Linked DNA regions of Callithrix jacchus. The protein of the gene in region 3 interacts with the protein of the main gene of each other region in a biochemical or structural test. Links are inferred from orthologs where the notes say so. Each region holds a gene or a part of one and is shown on either strand. Other genes may lie near its edges.

Evidence for each region.
Region 1: the proteins of ERBB4 (region 3) and RASA1 form a complex in vitro, tested with the Homo sapiens proteins (2 studies listed by BioGRID and IntAct, with this or other methods). The link is inferred for Callithrix jacchus from reciprocal best matches to the Homo sapiens genes ERBB4 and RASA1.
Region 2: the proteins of ERBB4 (region 3) and PTPN11 form a complex in vitro, tested with the Homo sapiens proteins (2 studies listed by BioGRID, with this or other methods). The link is inferred for Callithrix jacchus from reciprocal best matches to the Homo sapiens genes ERBB4 and PTPN11.

Annotation. Positions count from the first base shown.
Region 1 is NC_133503.1:123,600,395-123,607,141, forward strand, and holds the start of RASA1 (ras GTPase-activating protein 1), read right to left. Parts: upstream 4,514-6,747; 5' UTR 3,925-4,513; coding exon 3,368-3,924; exon of another isoform or gene 3,281-3,367; coding exon of another isoform or gene 3,243-3,280; intron 1-3,242. UniProt on the Homo sapiens protein: Inhibitory regulator of the Ras-cyclic AMP pathway. Stimulates the GTPase of normal but not oncogenic Ras p21; this stimulation may be further increased in the presence of NCK1.
Region 2 is NC_133510.1:115,437,801-115,444,074, reverse strand, and holds part of PTPN11 (tyrosine-protein phosphatase non-receptor type 11), read right to left. Parts: intron 2,590-6,274; coding exon 2,458-2,589; intron 1-2,457. UniProt on the Homo sapiens protein: Acts downstream of various receptor and cytoplasmic protein tyrosine kinases to participate in the signal transduction from the cell surface to the nucleus. Positively regulates MAPK signal transduction pathway. Dephosphorylates GAB1, ARHGAP35 and EGFR.
Region 3 is NC_133507.1:133,070,853-133,077,126, forward strand, and holds part of ERBB4 (receptor tyrosine-protein kinase erbB-4), read right to left. Parts: intron 4,613-6,274; coding exon 4,515-4,612; intron 3,185-4,514; coding exon 3,014-3,184; intron 1-3,013. UniProt on the Homo sapiens protein: Tyrosine-protein kinase that plays an essential role as cell surface receptor for neuregulins and EGF family members and regulates development of the heart, the central nervous system and the mammary gland, gene transcription, cell proliferation, differentiation, migration and apoptosis.

The DNA.
Region 1 (6,747 bases), on a different chromosome or scaffold from region 3:
AACCTGGTTGACAGAGCAAGATACTGTCTCAAAAAACAAAAAGGAAAAAATATATGAATGTCTACATTCAGGAATATGAATTTATGGATAACACCTGAATTTCATCCTTAAAAGTGCTTAACCTACTGCTGGAAACGCTTATGAAGTTAAAATAAAATTATTAATATAATTAATCATGGTCGGCTTGATTTGGAGTTCAAAACTTTCTCTAAAACAGTTATTAATAAGGGAGACTCTATAACTGAAAGAATTAGTAGATAATTTAGTGATAGTAAAATATTATGACTACGGGGACGGGGACTGTGTATTTATCGAACACCTACTATTCCCCAAGTACTGTGCTGAATACAGCAGGGTATTCATTAAATCTTTAAAAAACAACCACATGAGGAAGGTACCATTCTTATCCCCATTTTACAGATGGGGAAACTGACCTTTCCAAGATCACACAGCTAGTAAGTGGCAGAGTCAGGATTCCAATCCAAATTTTTTCTAACTTCAGAATCCGCACACTTAACCACTACACTGTATTGCCTCCAGTGACTCTGGGTTGATATCTAAGATAAAATAAGAAGGAAATTTGTACTTCTCAGTGGCAAATTTTAAAAAGATATTAGAAATGGAGGGTATTTTGGCCAGGCATGGTGGCTCCTGCCTGCAATCCCAGTACTTGCAGGCCAGGGTGGGCGGTTCACATGATCAGGTGTTCGAGACTAGCCTGATCAACACAGTGAAACCCTGACTCTACTAAAAAATACAAAAATCAGCCTGGTGTGTTGTTGGATGCCTGTAATCCCAGCTACTCAGGAAGCTGAGGCAGGAGAATCACTTGAGCCCGGGAGGCAGAGGTTGCAGTGATCCGAGATGGCGCCACTGCACTCCAGCCTAGGCAACACTCTATCTCAAAAAATAAATAAACAAAAAGAAACGGAGGTTATTTTTTAGAACATAAACAAGTCTCATATACACAGTCATACGAATATAACTTTTTCTTTCCAAATACATGTAATCATGATGAAAATCCCACACAATCAATTTCTCACAATTTTTCATATGTACTCAATCATGTTTTTTGTTTTTTTTCTTGACAGAGTTTCCCTCTTGTTGCCCAGGCTGGAGTACAATGGTGTGATCTCGGCTCACTACCTCCGCCTCCCTGATTTTAGCGAGTCTCCTGCCTCAGCCTTTCGAGTAGCTAGGATTACTGGTGCCCACCACCACACCCGGCAAACTTTTGGGGGTTTTTTGGTGTTTTAGTAGAGATGGGGTTTCACCATGTTGGCCAGACTGTTCTCAAACTCTGACCTCAGACCTCCCAAAGCACTGGAAATAGTCATGAGCCACCAGACCGGCCCAATCGTGTTTATTATTAAAAATTTAATGGGAACACCCCGTATCTTCCCCTCAATTTTGCTGTGAACCTAAAACGACTCTAAATAAAATAGTGTTTTGGGCTGGGTGCAGTGGCTCATGCCTGTAAATCCCAGCACTTTGGGAGGCCGAAACAGGTGGATCACCTGAAGTCAGAGTTCGAGACCAGCCTGGCCAATACAATAAAACCCCAACTCTACTAAAAATACAAAAATTAGCCAGGCGTGGTGGAGGGAACCTGTAATCCTAGCTACTCAGGAGGCTGAGGCAGGAGAATCACTTGAACCTGGGGGGCAGAGGTTGCAGTGAGCCAAGATCACTGACACTTCACTCCAGCCTGGATGAAAGAGCAAAACTCTGTCTTAAAAAAAAAAAAAACTATTAACACAAGTTTTTTTCAACTACAATATCCTAAATATATCTAATTTAGTTATAAACTGTCATAAGACTAGATTCTTTCAGTATGAAAAGTTACATTCTGTTCTTCATAACCACGGTACTGAGCATGCAGTGAGCATTTAATAAAAACTGAACTTTTTTCAAAAGCAGTGCTGTAGATGGCATTTTTAACCCTCTCAGAACACTCCCAAAGACTCTGCATTACAGACATAAGTTGGAATACCAACTTATGTCTTGGTATTCCAACTTATCACTTGAGGTCAGGTGTTCAAGACCAGTATGGCCAACATGACAAAACCTCGTCTCTACTAAAAATACAAAAATTCTCCAGGCATGGGGCACGTTCCTGTAATCCCAGCCACTCGGGAGGCTGAGGCAGGAGAATCGCTTGAACCTGGGATGCAGAGGTTGCAGTGAGCCGTGATGGCACCACGCACTCCAGCCTGGGCAACAGAGCAAGACTCCGTCTCAGAGGAGAGAAAAGAAAAAGAAACAAAACCTCTGAATTGTCCAGCGTGACTGTCAACATATGAACCAAATCTTTTGTCCTGATATGCACCAAGGTTGTTAAAATTCTAAGGGTCAATTAAGAGTTACATTCGAAATCTATAAAACAAGTTTTGCCTGATACCACTTCCCATCTCAACATTCTCATCAAGGTTCACCTTTACAAATAAACACCTAAGTTCAATTAAGAGAACAAGTGAGGAGGAGGTATTAACTAACATGAAAAACAGTCACTGTCCTGTATATTCTGCAGACTGTAGAACTTAATTTTCAAATAGAATACTATTCTGGCCACCAACAAAAATGCTTAAGGGAAGATTTATTAATTTTGTTTTACCTCACTGTTGTACTTCTAATGTCTCAACTATAAAAGCAGTGCATTAATAAGTGGGAAGCTATGGAAGAAGATACAGACATTGTTGGAGTATAGGCTCTTAATCACACCTATAATTCACACTACTGCTTTCCTTTCTCTCTGACCCAAGTTCTCATTAAATGACTCTAAGACTTTTCTGCATCACTGTTTTCTATAATCTGAAGCTGAGATGTGCACTGAAATAAAAACATTCTAACCAATATATTTCTCAAATTATTAATATAGTACTTGTTTAAATATTGGTATTCAAAGCTTCCCACTCATCATCTAGCTTTATCAAGGAACACACACAGGTTATACACTATGACTGCCTTGGTAGCTGCAGCTTGACTGAATCCTGGGACATCACCTCAACTTGGAAGGGACAGAACCATATCTGGTTCTCACTGGATACACATTTTCTCATGCTTTCCAGCTTAAAGACTTTACATCTTCCCAGAGGAACAATAAATGTAGGAAGACACCAGGTAGTATGCCTGTAAGGAGGATGAGTGATCAAATTAAATTCCTACTTCAAGAAATCTGAAACTTCAAAAACTTTTCCTAACAAATCACAGCTGAAAAGATTAAAAAAAAAAGGATGATTTACCCCTTCATTCTCTCTTTCCTGGAGACAGCTTCACACATTCTGAAGAGCAGTCTTAACTTAACTGAAGAGCAGTCTTAACTTACTGAAGAGCAGTCTCAACTTACTGAAGAGCAGTCTCAACTTACTGGTTAGTTGGAGGAGCGGTCAACGGTATGGCCACCTCTTCCTCCTCGTATTCTGGTCCATCCAGAGAGTCACCTTCGTCCACTGTCCCCAGACCCGCCCCCAAAGGGGGCAGGTGAGGGGGAGGAGGCAGAGGGGGAAATACACCTCCTGGTCCGAGAGTCTCAGCAGGCAACGAAGTGAGCAGCTTGGTGAGAGACATGTCTCCACTAGGTCCAGCAGCAGCAGCAGCAGCAGCAGCAGCAGCACCGGCCACGCCAGCAGCAGCACCAGCCACGCCAGCAGCAGTACCTCCGCCTGTCAGTCCGGCTCCCCCCAATGCCCCTGCCACAGACCCGGTTCCTAGGAACCCTGACCCCAAAGCGGCTCCGCCACCCAGAGTCCCAGCCACTCCGGTCTCCACCAGCCCAGGATAGGGGGCGGCTGCCACTGGCAGGGCCGCGGGTATCCTCACCCGACACACTGCGGGATAGGCACTGGAGCCCGCAGCCGCGCCGCCTCCCCCTGCTCCGGCAGTTACCGGGCCGCCTTCCTCACTGCCGGCCTCGGCCGCCATCATGTTGAAGCCCGCTCTACTCTGCCCTACACTGCCCGCCCGGGAGCCCCGGGGGCCACCAGGCCCGGGTTCCGAGCCGCCCCACCCAGGCGCGTCTCCCCTTCAGCTCCCCAGGCGGAGGAAACAACAACAAAAGGAGAGAGCCGGCCGCCGCGCCCCCTCCCAGGGCCACAGCCCAGGCTCCGGAGCTGCCTGGGTTACGGGAAGCGAAGTGGGCAAAAAACCCAACGCCTGCACAAACGCCACCCAAACCTCACTGCACACACCCACACTCACGCACACACACACGTACAGAAGCGAAAACTTCCTGACTGCACTAAAGAAGATAGGAAGCACAGGGAAAGAGGCTGAGGCGGCTATCGCTCCTTTAGACACCACCACCGCTTCTTCACCACCCCAGTTCCGGCCACCCACACCGCAGCCACCGCCGGTGCCGCTGTATACGCTGGGACCACTGCAGCCCCTTCATCCTCCACCAGGCAGATGGTGGGGAGGGACAAGAGAAAGAGGGGCTGGGTAATGAGGAAATCTACTGAACTGCTCACTACCTGGAGCTCTCAGTGAGTGAAACCGGAGAGAGAGAAAGGAAGGCGGGGCAGGGGAGGAGGGACGGAGGGAAGGAAGGGCGGAGGAGGGAGAAGGGCAGCTTGTGCGCAGGCGCGTTCCCGGAGCGGTGGCGGGGGGCCGGACCTGGAGGAAAAGGAAGAGTCCAGAGGGAAGGAAGCGGCGGGGACGCGCGGTGCGTGGTCGCGCATGATGTCCTGCTCCGGTTCGAAGCGTGTGTCGGCTCGGCTGCATCATCTGTCGGCGTGGCTGGCGACGCGCGCCTGTCTCCCGGGGCTTTGTTTGATGAGCAGGAGAAGAGGGAAGGGGTACCTGAGCTCGCGGGCGCTCAGCACTGTTAAAGCCTGAGAAACGAGAAGGGGACCGGGAGGTGGTGGAGAGGAAACGGGGGAAAGGGAAAGGAAAATGCCCAGAAACTACCGGAGGAAGAAACAGCCTTAGCCAGCAGCGCAGAAACCAGGCAAGGGTCAGGTAGCTTTGAAGATCAGGGCAGTACTATTTATGTTTTCTTTTTAGTTTCATGCTATAAATCACCGTGACTATCACACACGCACAAATAAAATAGATTCTGAAACTCAAAACGAAATAAAAGGCACCATATGAGAAGGATGGAGAATTTTGGTAGAAATGGTGGTTATGAAGTCAGATTTCTATGTATAGGCGCACGCTTTTCTTTACCAACTGTCTCATATACTTAACCTTTGCCGTTTCAAGTATGTTGGATACTAATGAACCGGGGTGGGGGGTGGGGGTGCCACAGAAAACACTCATCAATGCACCTTTGTCCTCGTCGTAATCCACAGTGCAAGCACCTTCAACAAGTCAAATGTCAAAAATGTCCCAGTTATGATTATATATCGTTTCAAAAAGTATCAATAAATTGAAAACTCATATTTAATACAATTACGGAGAAGGGTTTTGTCTTTTATACTAAAATATATACAAACTATTATATGCTTCATATAGAGGGAGCTTCCCATGGTTTGAAATTAACCGTATTGTTATTTTTAATTCTCCCACGAGTGATCCCAACCACATTGACTACCACTTAATATTGATCTTCGAGATCAATGTTTTCTCTGCTAAGGATGATTAAACCAACACTAGGGATGGCAAGTGGCTTTGATAGAAACCCAGGAAAAAGAGAAAAGACCACTAAAAGAGGTGACAAGATGCAGGCAATGGATCTTCTTTGTAAGCTTGCCTATTTACCTAGTCAATGACAACAATCTACCTTGATTAAGGAATAGTCCTGGGGCCACCATTGTGCTTATCTCTTAGGCAGTGTACCACCTGGCAGGAGGAAGATGGACCACTCACAGGAAATAGAGTTCTCAGAGTGAACTGAGGTCAGCAACATCCTAGGAATTCAGAAATGCCACCTCAGACCCGCTAAATCATAAACTGCAGCAATTCCATTTTAACAAGCCCTCCAAGTGATCTTTTGCACACTAAAGTTTGAGAACCACTATATTAATGTATAGTATACTAATCAAGAAGGAGTTATACAATACCTAAAAAACAGAAATAATAGATGTCATTCATTAGGTAGGTGGGTAAGATATGTGGGTTTTGAGTTGCTAAGCCCTGTGCTGTTCTAGAAATGAGAATGAAATAGTCCCGTAATACTTAATAATGAAGTACTACTTACGGTGGCTTCCCTGAGAACAGTTTTCTTTTCTTTTAAATTTAGACCCTCAGTTAGCCAAGACTATCAAAATTCCTACTCTACTTACTGCCTGCTGTGTAAACCCCAAGTGCAACATTCCCAACAAATCTTCACATAGCCTGTGCTTGAAAACCTGCAGTGTGTTAACATCCCAATCCTCCAGCATTCCTGCCCCAATCATCGCTGTCAGTCCTTGAATGCAAGACATTGGACTGCCAGGTTATCACCAGCTCTTGGTTATCACTGATCTCTACACGTTCACACATGATCTGTATGTTGCCTGGGAGTCCAGGTGAGGCTCACTACTCTTACTGCAGGATTACCTCCTCCTTTTTTGACAATTCTTTAGCACTTTTAAAGGTCAATATTTAATGCAGTCTAAAATCTATCAAACACTCAGTTAGATAGTTTTCTAGACTTTTAGGTGTATGGAGGACCTACAAAACTGTACTGCAGATACAAACTGTGTTCTATTTTACTGCCTAACCCTGTGCTAGGCAACCTCAGTATGCTACTTTGAACAGATCTTCATCCTTTTAACAAATACCAAATTTGATCAGCTCCCTTCCATGGAAATCAATTTCTTAACCAGT
Region 2 (6,274 bases), on a different chromosome or scaffold from region 3:
GCCCTAGGAGCCAAGTGTCCTTGGAGAAAAACCAGGTGGTGGATATCAGTATATTTTCATGTTCACCACCTCAGCTGGGCACTTGGCACAGCACAAAAATTTCTGGACTTCTTGCTCTGCTACACAATTATGATTTCATTCTTTTCTCCCTTTCTTCAAATATTCAAATATCTCTTCTTATTCCCTTTGACTGTCTGTTGATGGCCTTGCCTCAAGCTTCGGAGAGGATAGGGAAAATAATCGCTCTTAGCTCACCTACTGGCATCTGTGGCCACCTTCTCCTCTTGCCCTTCATTGCCACAGGAAAAAATGTGCCTCCATCAAGCAAAAACTCCATCCACAACGCGTCCCACCTCTCCTCCTCATCCCACCTCCACCCTTGCCTCCCTGACAGCTCCATTTCAATGTGTCCAAGGCATCTCAAACTTAGTGTGTCCACAAAGAGGTCCCTGCTGATCCTTCCAGCTTCCTCAAGTCCACTGCCCTTCACCCTGCCTTCTCAGGCTAGAAAACCACCAGTCATCCTGCATGCCAGCCTCGCCCTTGGTACACTCCATCATTAAATCCCTGCCAGGCTAACTGCCTCCAGTTAGCTCTACTGGGTCCTCTTCTTTCTGGCACCCCTGCCACTGGCCTAGTTCAAGCCCTATCATCTTTCACTCTGACAACTGCAGTACCTCCTAATCAGTCCTATCCCTAGACCCACTTTTCCTCGCTCCAGTCTCTACAGGGTGGAGGGGAATCTCTTAAAAGCTTAAATCCAACTATGGCTGCTTACTATACTTAGGATAACCTCCCCCAACCTCCTTTGCCAACTCAAATACATTGTTTCCTATGCCTTAAGAACCTCCCTTCCAGCTGGGCGCACTGGGCGCAGTGGTTCATGCCTGTAATCCCAGCACTTTGGGAGGCCGAGGCAGGCAGATCACAAGGTCAGGAGTTCGAGACCAGCATGACCAACATGGTGAAACCCCATCCTTACTAAATATACAAAAATAAGCTAGGCATGGTGACACACGCCTGTAATCCCAGCTACTCAGGATGCTGAGGCAGGATAATCACTGGAACTCGGGAGGCAGAGGTTGCAGAAAGACAAGATCATGCCACTGTACTCCAGCCTGAGTGACAGAGCGAAATTCCATCTCAAAAAAAAAAAAAAAAAAAAACCTCCTTTCCTTTGGCCAGGTGCACTGACTCATGCCTATAATCCCAGCACTTTGGGAGGCTACTTGTGGTAGGAGAATCACTTACCCCCAGGAGTTCAAGACCTGCCTGGACAATATAATGAGACACCCATCTCTACAAAAAATTTGAAACTTGGGTGGGCATGGTGGCACAAGCTGTAGTCGCCAGCTACATGGGAGGCTGGGGCGAGAGGATCACTTCAGCTTAGGAAGTTGAGGCTGCAGTGAGCCGTGACTGCACCAGCACATTCTAGTCTGAGTGACAGAGCAAGGTTCTGTTTAAAAAAAGTCCTTTCCCCCTCTAAATGAACCCTAAACTCCTGCATTTTTTCTTTCTAGCCTTGATTACGGTTTGTAATGATATATTTATATGTGCGATTACTGGGCTGGTAGATTACTGGCCAGTACAGGGTACACTTGGGAGTGCAGGGACTCCATCTGTTTTGTTCCCCAGCTCTATCTCCAGCAAGCAGCATGGTGTCAGGAACCAAGAGGTCATTAAACAAACATCTCTGAATGAATAGATGAATGTCCACATGACTGTTCAGATGCCCAGCTGAACACGTCCAGAAGAAAACAAATCACTGCCCACATCAGTTCTCCCTCCAGCTTTTGTGGTGTCTGCCACAGCACCACTGTCCACTCAGACTCAAACCTCTACATTGTGTCTTGAATCCCTCTTCCTCCTCCAAAGGCCAAACAATCCTCACGCCCTGCAGACTTCACCCCCAGCACTTCTCACATCCACTGCTTCTCTTCCAGTTTATTCTGCCATTTTACATAATATTCCTTTCCAAAGGAAGGAACAAAAAAGAACAACTGCTGAAGTCTGTGGATACTTGGAGAGGAGGCCATCAACCTTGGCTCCTGCAGAGGCCTCCTAACAGGCCTTGCAACCACTCAGGTCACCCCATTCCAATCTCCCACCCAGGGCTGGTCTTGAACTCCTGGGCTCAAGCGATCCACCTGGAAGGCTCAAGCCTCCCAAAGTGCTGGGATTACAAGCATAAGCCTCAGCGCCTGGCCAGTTACTTGTTTTTAAATCTTCCATCTCTCTAGGCTCGATAAGGGCAGGAACACCACCTGCCTTGTTCACAGTGTAACAGTACTGCCTAAACTGTACCTGGCACATAGAAGGAACCCAATAAATGGCTACTGAATCAATGAGTGAGCGAAAGCACGAATGTATGCAAACATGAGTAACTGCAAGACCCTGAATTACTACATACCATCAGCACTTCCCAAAGTCTCTAGAATACGACAATATACTTACTTGTCCAACCTTTGAAAGTTTTAGTTCTCGTAGCGTATAGTCATGAGCAGCACTTTCTTTGACGTTCCTAACACGCATGACCCCATATTCTTTGAGAGCATACTCATCAGGCCAGTATTTGACACACTTACTCTGGAAGGGATCAGAGAAAAAGAAAGTTAATTCTGTGAACTCTGAAATCAAAACCTAAACCAGCAACAAACAAATGTGCAGGTCTTGCTTAATGACCACCAATGTGGAAAACGGCCTGTCTAGCATCTGTTAGGTTTTCGAAGAAAAGGAGAGTTCAAATAAGAAAAGCAGGTGCTTGGAGGACCGGGCAGAAGTGGGAGGAGAAAGGAGGCTGGTGCAGTTACCTGATCCAAGCACGTGTCAGAGGAGAGTCAATGCTTGTTGATCTGTAAAGAATCAGGCTGGGCATGGTGGCTCACCTGTAATCCCAGCACTTTGGAAGGCCAAAATGGGCAGATCATTTGAGATCAGTAGTTCGAGGCCAGCCTAGCCAACATGGTGAAACCCCGTCTCTACTAAAAATACAAAAATTAGGCCAGGCATGGTAGCTCATGCCTATAATCCCAGCACTTTGGGAGGCTGAGGCAGGTAGATCACCTGAGGTCAGGAGTTCGAGAACAGCCTGGTCAACATGGTGAAACACCGTCTTTACTAATAATACAAAAATTAGCTGGGCATTGTGGTGCATGCCTATAATTTCAGCTACTTGGGAGGCTGAGGCAGGAGAATCGCTTGAATCAGGGAGGCAGAGGTTGCAGTGAGCTGAGCCCATGCCATTGCACTCCAGCCTGGGCAACAAGAGCGAAACTTCATCTCAAAAATATATATATATACAAAAATTAGTCAGGCATAGTAGCCGGTGCCTGTAATCACAGATACTTGGGAGGCTAAGGCAGGAGAATCATTTGAACCTGGGAGGCAGAGGTTGCAATGAGCTGAGATCATGCCACTGCACTCCAGCCCGGGCAACAGAGAGAGATTCCCTCTCAAAAAAAAAAAAAAAAGTTCTAACAAAAGCAGATGCAGGTGCTCGGAGGACTAAGCAGAAGTGGGAGGAGAAAAGCAGCTTGTGCAGTTGTCTGATCCAAGCACATGTCAAAGGAGAGTCAATGCTTGTTTATTTATCTCTAAGGAATCAAAGATGCAGAGAGAAAGACCAACCAATGTGAGAGTACTGGCTAGCAACCACTGAGGTCTGAATTCTAAGATCTGCCAGTCACTCCCTAGGGAAGGCAAGCATAGAGTCTGGAGGAGTCTAAGCTGCCCAACGAGCCAGACTGTCTGCTTCATTTCCGCACCAGTGTAGGAGGACTCTGTGCCTTATCTAACCCAAGTGTGAATAACTATATCACAGAAAGGCAGCCCATAGGGTTTTGAACCAGCTGCTTTTTCTATATCCAGACCCATCTGATACCTCCTCTACACGTCACTTTCCCTTAACTGGGTCCTGGGAATGCCAAGTCTGCAATAGCTGCTGGCTTTAAGAGCAGGTGATTGAAATATATGGCACCAAGAAAATTATTCTTGCTGCCAAAAAGGAAGCTATTTCACTCAATAGGAGATGAGTTTGTATCTATTTGGTGATGTGTCCTAGGCAGAGAATGCTTTTATGTTCTGTTGAATTCTGGGCAGTCATCCACACCACTTACTTTCCAAAACCACCATGACACAAATATCAGCAAGAGAAATTTACCTTGTATCTTAGGAAGACAGAGAAATTTACAGCTATAAAACTGGAAATAAGAAAGCAGCTACAGACATGAACAGTCACAGTAGATGATTAGTTGAAAGAAAAAAGAAAACATGGTAGGAGGAACATTTAATAGAAGGATGTGGTCTTAGCCGGGCACAGTAGCACATGGGAGCCACTTGGTGGCTGGCTGCAATCCCAGCACTTTGGGAGGCTGGGTGGATCACTTGAGGTCAAGAGTATGAGACCAGCCTGACCAACATGGTAAAACTCTGTCTCTTTTAAAATTACAAAAATTAGCCAGGTGTGGTGACACACACCTGTAATCCCAGCTACTCAGGAGGCTGAGGCAGGAGAATCGCTTGAATCTGGGAGGCAGATGCTGCAGTGAGCCAAGACTGTGCCACTGCACTGCAGGCTGGGTAACAGAGCAAGATATGGTCTCAAAAGAAGAAAAAGAAGAAGAAGAAGAATGTGGTCTTTTGGCTTTCTCTCCAGTATTTTATGGATCCAAACGCCTCTGACAGATTTGATGTAAATTTTAGTTTCCCCAAATAAACATTCCTAATATTAATTGTACTCTATGCTGTCACTGACCAATCAAGGCTGAGGACTGCTCCCAGTCACTACAGGGAACTCGTCACAGGATATAAAATTAAATCATGACTCTGAAAAGAATGTTTTAGCTAACTTTAAACATCAGCAAACTGCTGCAGCCCTGTCTCCAGCTTCTAAACTCCTTTGGAAACCTTGGCAAACAAATTCTAAAATATGAGAACTAACACATTAAAATAAGGCCTTTAAAATAGGGCCCAGGAATCAAACACAGTCCACAGTCTGGTTTGTCTTCTGTGCACTGGGGGGATACTGAGAGCAGGTTGTCAGAAAGGCCTGTAGAGAGTAATCAGCACCCATCATGTCATCCTCTCAGTACCACCAAAGTAAAAAGGAAGAAGGAGAGAGGGAGCAGAGACTTAGACACGGTGGTAAGGAGTGGGGCAGGGTGATTTCACCCTAATACCTGTCTATCCTAGGAGAGCTTCTGAAAGGGACTGATACTGATTCCTCTGAAGCAACACAAGACCCCTCTCTTCACAGTCCTCACATCCTCTGAGAACAGGTGACCTCCTACAGCTACAATCAGGCAAAAAGCGGGATGAAGGGCTTCATTTTTCCTAACCACATTTAGGGCAAAAAACATTTGCCTGAAGCAGAAACTACAAAGATGTTTCCATTGGTCCATTAATTCAAGAATACCTAGTGTTACTGCAGGCAGCTGCTAGAGGAAAGCTTGGTTTCACGATGACCAGATCTGGTCCCAAAGGTATTCAGAAGCGTACAATGAAAGTCTTATGAAAATCACACTGCCCTTCACATCCAACATGAAAATTACATTAGGAGGGCTAAACTCCAAAGTTCTCCATCTGTCTTAGGTTTAATTTATAGGTATCACGGCTACATTCCACACAAAATCTTATATAAACCAATTAAAGGATATCTAAAAAAGAACTTTCACTAGAACACAAATAAAAACACAGAACTTTTCTATATTAAAAAAAAAACCCACAAGGGTGAACTCACTTTGAGATAACACAGAGGGCTGTCACTCAATAAGATCTGTCTGCTTTTCTGTAGATGTGGGATGTTACAACTTATTTTTTAATCTAAAGTGTCTTGAAGAGTATGGAGCCATGGGTCCTAGGCAGGTACTGTATGTGGGAGTAAACACTAGGGCAACCATTTGGGAGGACAGTTGGGCAGAGTTAATTAAAACAGACAACATGGCCAGGCACAGTGGCTCTTGCCTGTAATGCTAGCACTTTGGGCCAAGGTGGGTGGATCACCTAAGGTCAGGAGTTCGAGACCAGCCTGGCCAACATGTTGAAACCCCGTCTCTACTAAAAATACAACAATTAGCCAGGTATGGTGGCACATGCCTGTAATCCCAGCTACTCGGGAGGCTGAGGCACAAGAATAATTTGAACCCAGAAGGCGGAGGCTGCAGTGTGCTGAGATTGTGCCACTGCACTCCAGCCTGGGAGACAGAGCAAGACTGTCTCAAAAACAAAAAACAAAAAGGACAATATGCATATCCTATGACCTCACAATCCTTCT
Region 3 (6,274 bases):
GGAAACCCCATCTCTGTAAAAAAAAATATATATATATAAAAAAGTAGCTGGGTGGCGTGGTGCACGCCTGTGGTCCCAGCTACTGTGGAGGCAGAGATGTGAGGATCTCTTGAACCTGGCATGTGGAGGTTGCAGTGAGCCAAGATCGTGCTACTGCACTCCAGCCTTGGTGACAGAGTAAGATCCTGTCTCAAAAAGAAAACAAAAAAAAGATGATAATATTAAAATTATATCTAACAATAGTAACAGCAGCTGTAAATTAGATAAGTGTTTTCTAACATGACTTAAATTTGTATCCATCAACTTTCTGGACAAATATGAACATTGTATTTTGAATTGCTTCATTGCTTTCAAGTTGTAATTTATCAAAATGTATGTGGAATTTTACAAAATCAAAAGCACTATAAAAATTACTTCTATCTTTATTTGATATTAGAACATATCAGCAGACCTAATTTGCTGGCCAAGCAGTAACTGCATTAACAAGCTTTTCATAGATGGTGGGTAGAATCCCTTATAAGAAAGTGTTATTATTTATGATATATGATATTGACAAGGAAAAAGATGAAAATGGTGACTCTAAAAGTAGGGTAATATGTATTTCTTTACCTAGCTTTATAAATACTTTGCAATTTTTAAAAAGTTAATTGCTTATTACTCATATAAGATAGGCACTATTGCATTTAGAAAATGAGTAAACAAAGTCATAGAACATTATCCACAGTTTCTCAATTAGTGCACAGTGGAGTCTGTTTTCAAAATGCATTATTATTTTTTTGGTTTCAAAGTCCATCACGTATGCTCAAGAAACATTTGATCAAAATTCACTTTTAAGATATTTCGTTAGCACATAATTTAGCCACAGAACTTAAAATGAAAGTAATTTATTTTCTAATTTAGCCATGTTAGAAAGAAAGGAATGTGACATTTGCACATATTAGAAATTTCTGTGAAAGTTATATAAAGCCAGACTGGAAAACATTAGAACAATATACATGACAAATAAAGCCTTTTAAATGCCTGAACATAAAATGATATTTAAACACAATTTCTTTTCTAAGGACTGAAAAAATAAAAAATCTACAGGTAACTTTGTCTAATAATGTGGAATAAGTAATGATACCAAAGGTCAAATAAATCCTCCTGTGATTTCTACTTTGTCTCAATAATTCCATCTAGTTAGCTCAAATCTTTATTAAGAATTTCTTGAATTGAAAATTATAAATTAACATGAACAAAAAGTTGAAAAGAACTCTTATAAAAAGATTTATATCATTTCAATAAACTTTTTTTTGAAATTTCACTGTTGTAGCCAGAAGTAATGAATTTACCACTTAAAATTATAAATATGAGGGGATATAATTTGGTAATTTTGCATAGTGTACAGAAGGGAAGACAAAGGGCCTCCTTTACATACCTTAAGAGCTTTCTTCCCTCTTAAAAGACTGGTTATTCTTCATTACCTATCCCTTGATCTTATTTTTAAAACTTTTAGTTATCTACTCTCCATTGGGCATGTGACAAAATTTTCATTTTGGGCTACAATAATTTTTTTAATAGAAAAATTAATTGAGGTCTCCATCTTTGTCTTTTTCCGTATCAGATCTTCTAAGTGGAGGTAGATGGGCAAAAGGTGCAAGGCAGGTTTCAGATGCATTTTATAAGAAAACCACCTGGGAATTTCCCAAACAAGACAAATCCCAGACTCCAATCACATCGTGGAAATCTAATTACATCGTGGAAATCTAATTTCATCATGGAAATAACATGCTTCATAACTCTGAAGCAAAACTACAGTGTAGTAGGCAGATCTCTAGCTTACGTTATTCCTGTCTTCCACTGACTAGCTGTGTGACACCAGTCATTTCACCTGACTACTCTGTGGCAAGTTTGTTCATCTGAAAGAAGGGATGATAATAATAATAGAACCTTGTGAAGTTTGTTTAAGGATTAGGAGGTTAACATATATGTGTTGAATAGTAAACACCAGGGGAATATTACTTATTACTGTCAATATGAAATAAAGCAAATTATTTTAGATAATGAGCAGTAAGTAAGTTGAAAATGTTCTTATGGCTATGGTCAAGAGAAATTGGATGCTGTCTGTTCTACTAGCTGTGATAATGTTCTTAAAGAAGGAGACAAGGAAAAGAATTATCTTCTACAAAAAGTTAAGCATCATATTTATATCTTAGCAATGAAAGAAATTGATTACAGACACAAATTTACAAATTCATGCTCTGTAATGGTCAGTGAATACTGGATTACAGCACTTATGCTGTCCCTATATCTGTGTCATTTTTTTCATTAAGGTAGACACTTCTTGAAAGCAGTTGTACCAAAATTCCTTCACTCTTAAATGTATACTAATGCTTCACACACAGTGGTACTCAATATATGTTGAATGAATGATGAATAAATTTATAAAAGTAAAAAATGCATGGATTTGACAGCTTTCAAAGAAACAATGGATTTCATGTAGAGTAGGTTTAACATTTAAAATGAAATAGAAATTCTTTACAGAAGCCTCTTTCAAAACTTAAATCTACTTTTTAGAAATGATTCAGCAGCCTTTTCGATATGATTAAGTTCAAAGGACTGCATGGTTTTCTGTGTTTCTACTTCAACTTGACAGAGATTTATACTTGTATTCTTAAGAAGGAAAAGTAGAAAGCCTACTTGGTAGGAATTTTCATTTATTTATATACACATATGGTTGTATTAGTTGGAATTGTTTTTCAAATTTGATTTGTTTTTAAATTAAGATGAGGAAAATGTTTTTTCTTTGGTAATCTTGAAGGTATTTCAATATACATGTTGCACTGTCCAAGCCTGTCTTCCAAAATTCTATATAGAAAGATTGGCACATTTTTTTCTAGGTATGGTATATTTTTAATCTAGGCATCACACTGATTTGAGCTATATAATTATTCAAAATGTTAGTGCTTATAATCTATTTACATGATTTTATATCTCAGAAGTAATATAATATGTGTATATACTTCCTTCTTACCCTATTTGAGTCAATTCTTGCTCTGGAAGTATAAATGGGAGGTGGGATGTTGAAAGCCTGAGGGACCAAGTACTCCTCAGCATCCATCATATCTTCCAAATCTTCTTCATCCAAGAGATTCTGAAAGAACTTGCTGTCATTTGGACTGGGAAGCTTCATTCGATCATCACCCTAAAAGATTACCCATCAGACACAAATATGACTTTTTTGTTTTTTATCTTAAATATGTGGTCTCTGCAATTAATTTATGTAATATCAAAACAAACCGTTGAAAAATTCATTCACACATTTTAAAAAAACAAGTCTTTAGCACAGCACTAGCCATTAAGAAACCTATAACATGCTTAGATATGACAGGGTCAGATAAACAAATTTTATACTAGAATATTATGATAAATACTGTTAAACAAAAGAAAGCAAAATTCAAAAGTTGTTTTTAGGGCGGTAAAGTCAATTTCAGGTCTGAAAATAATTGTTCATTGCTCAGATCATATGTGGGTTGCAACTTTAAACAATAAAAGGCGATTAACTTATCAACCTTTATTTTATTTGGTTGGTTTGATGCTGTAGGATTATTAGGCCTATAGGGTCTATACTTTATTCTATAGCATACTGGCTACATTATTAAAGTAGTGGCATTCAAAACTCACAGTGCAAGTGTCAAATAGAGTAAAGGTGCATGAGGCAGACACCAAGAGCATAACCCTTGTTATGCTCTTTCTCACCTCATCTATTAAGTATTTTTCCTATAACAATTTCAATTTATGAAAACTAATTTTGGGGAAAAATAAATGGAAATAAGTATCTTCTAAAACCGAGCTTTTATCTTTATGTCAGACTATTGATATGAAAATAAAGGCTACCTTGTTTTACTTAGGAAACATAATTCACTCTAGTCCAAGGCTCATTTGTTTATAGTTTAGGTGAAAATAGTCAGAGAACCATATTATTTTTAAGTTGTCCTGTCTGTTTTTCTAGTGTTAAATGTAAAATATTCCTTTGGATGGTGGATATGCATCAATTCATTTGAATTGAGTTATTGCTTGGATACTGCATCTCTCTCCAAATAAAGCAAAACATTTAAAAATATTTTTGGTGAAATTAAATATTAATATACTGAATCTTTTGATTCATTGTCTTCAAGCATGGGCAACATTAAAACAAATCTGTCTTTTGTTCTGAAAAATGAAAATTATGCTAATGAACATGACTTACACTTAATAAAATCAAAGTCTAAAATCAGTGTCTCAGGATTTAGACCTTTTTATGTATATGTATAATCATAATTATCTGTTCAATATCAGAGTCACCTGAATACTAAGGGAAGGTGGATCTGACATGAAGTAAAACTCTTTTTCATAAGTCATTTCACTTGATAATCTGCTTAATTAAACAGTATGACAGTGGCCATTTCCACAGTTCCAAAGTCCTGATATTATTCATATTTTGCAGTGAGTTTGCCATCAGCCTAGTCTTAAAGGCATAAGTCAAATGTACTAACCTGAATAACTAGGTATCTTTGAGGGTCTCGAGCCATCCTTGAAAATTCAGCAGCCAGTTCCTTAAATTTAGGTCTACTGTCAGCATCAATCATCCAACCTGGAAATTTACAGTGAAAGATGTCACTATATCCATAATTAGAAGTTGAGATATAAATTTTGTGCAAATATGAGCAAAAGTTTGAAAAATTTTGTTTTAATCATAATCTGAAAAATAAAGCTAGTAAAAGAAACAGTTGGTAAGGCTTTATCAGTTTCTTTGTTGATATTCCTAACTAAATGTAATATACTATAAAACAAAAGATAACTGTTTTCCTCTGATGTGTATAGATGAGGTGACTACAATATAAGTTATCATTTTGTATTAGGAGTGACATGGGAGAAAAAATTTGGTTACAATGCTTACACTAGCACAAAGGAGAAAAAAGGAATTAAAAGCAACTTTCTTGTGCTACATTTGTCCTGGTGGGGGATAGGAAAAAAACTAATGCAAAGTGACTGACGGTAATGGCTGTTCAGCAATAGATACTAGTTTATCTTAGTACTATCTTGTCTAGCATAAAAACACTATCAGCAATTTTCAAGGTATGTATTAGTATTTAGCCAGGAGTCTAGATAAAGTAGACCTTATCTCTACAGTCTCTGTTAAGCTAATGAGATGACAAGAATAAAAGTACAAAGCTTTCCTTGATTTTCCTGCCAAATGATCCTCTTCTTAGGTGTTAAAACCCCCAAAGAAAGGTAAAACTCTCTGTTAGGCAAAGTATTTCGTTGGTTTTACATAATTTCATCAGAGCTAAATTCTGATGAATTTAAATCATTTCCTATGCTAGTTATAGGATTAAATTATATAAGGCATGCATGTTTTTAAACTTTCTTCCATAGATGTCTACCAAACAATATTTGAGAGAATAAGGCTGTAAAGCTTGTTCCTTCCTTTTCTGGGAGTTTGGTTTTTATTTCTATTCTGGAAATTCTTTGGGTGTCATTTTATGTATCATTAATGTGATCTGCTTTTTTCCTCTCCAAACAAAGCACAAATGCTCTGTATTCTATATGCATTCATTTAAAAAATGCTTGGTAATGCCAAGATACTAATGAGAAAATAGATGTTTCTGAAACCATTGAAGCCAAAAAAGGTTAAACACAGTTGAGGTATCGGTTTCTCTCCAACTAAATATTGAGTAAATAGAACTATGCTTAGTGAAAAGGGCATGCTGACCTGAACTGCAAAGAACATTTTTTATTTCCTCCCTCACTGTCAGAATGTATCACACATGTCATGAATATAAATCTGAGTAGACCTGGGTCCAAAGTCTCTTATTAATAAGATGCTTATTCACCTTCACCAGTTTGTTTCTTTGCTAACCCCATGTAAATCAGAAGGGGAAAACCTTAGATTATACAAGAGATTTCTGCATGTTAATCTCACTTAAATTAAGCCAGAAACTCCAGAGACTTCCGTAATTCTATTTAAATTAAGGATCTGAGCTTCAAAAATACATTTATAATACATATGTGTCTGGGGCATAGGAAGTTTGATGTAAACAAATGATCAAATTGATAAAAGGTAACATTTATAATTTATTTTTAGCTCACTGTAGATTCATTTCTTCCCACTTCCCACTTTGTCCTGCTAATCTGCTCTTGACTAAAACTGGTAGACCTGTTTCTATTAAATTAATTTTTAAAACTATCAGCTTCAAGCTTTTTTCCTTTATGTTTAGATCATTCATGTAGCCTGATATTTTCCCATAAAGGT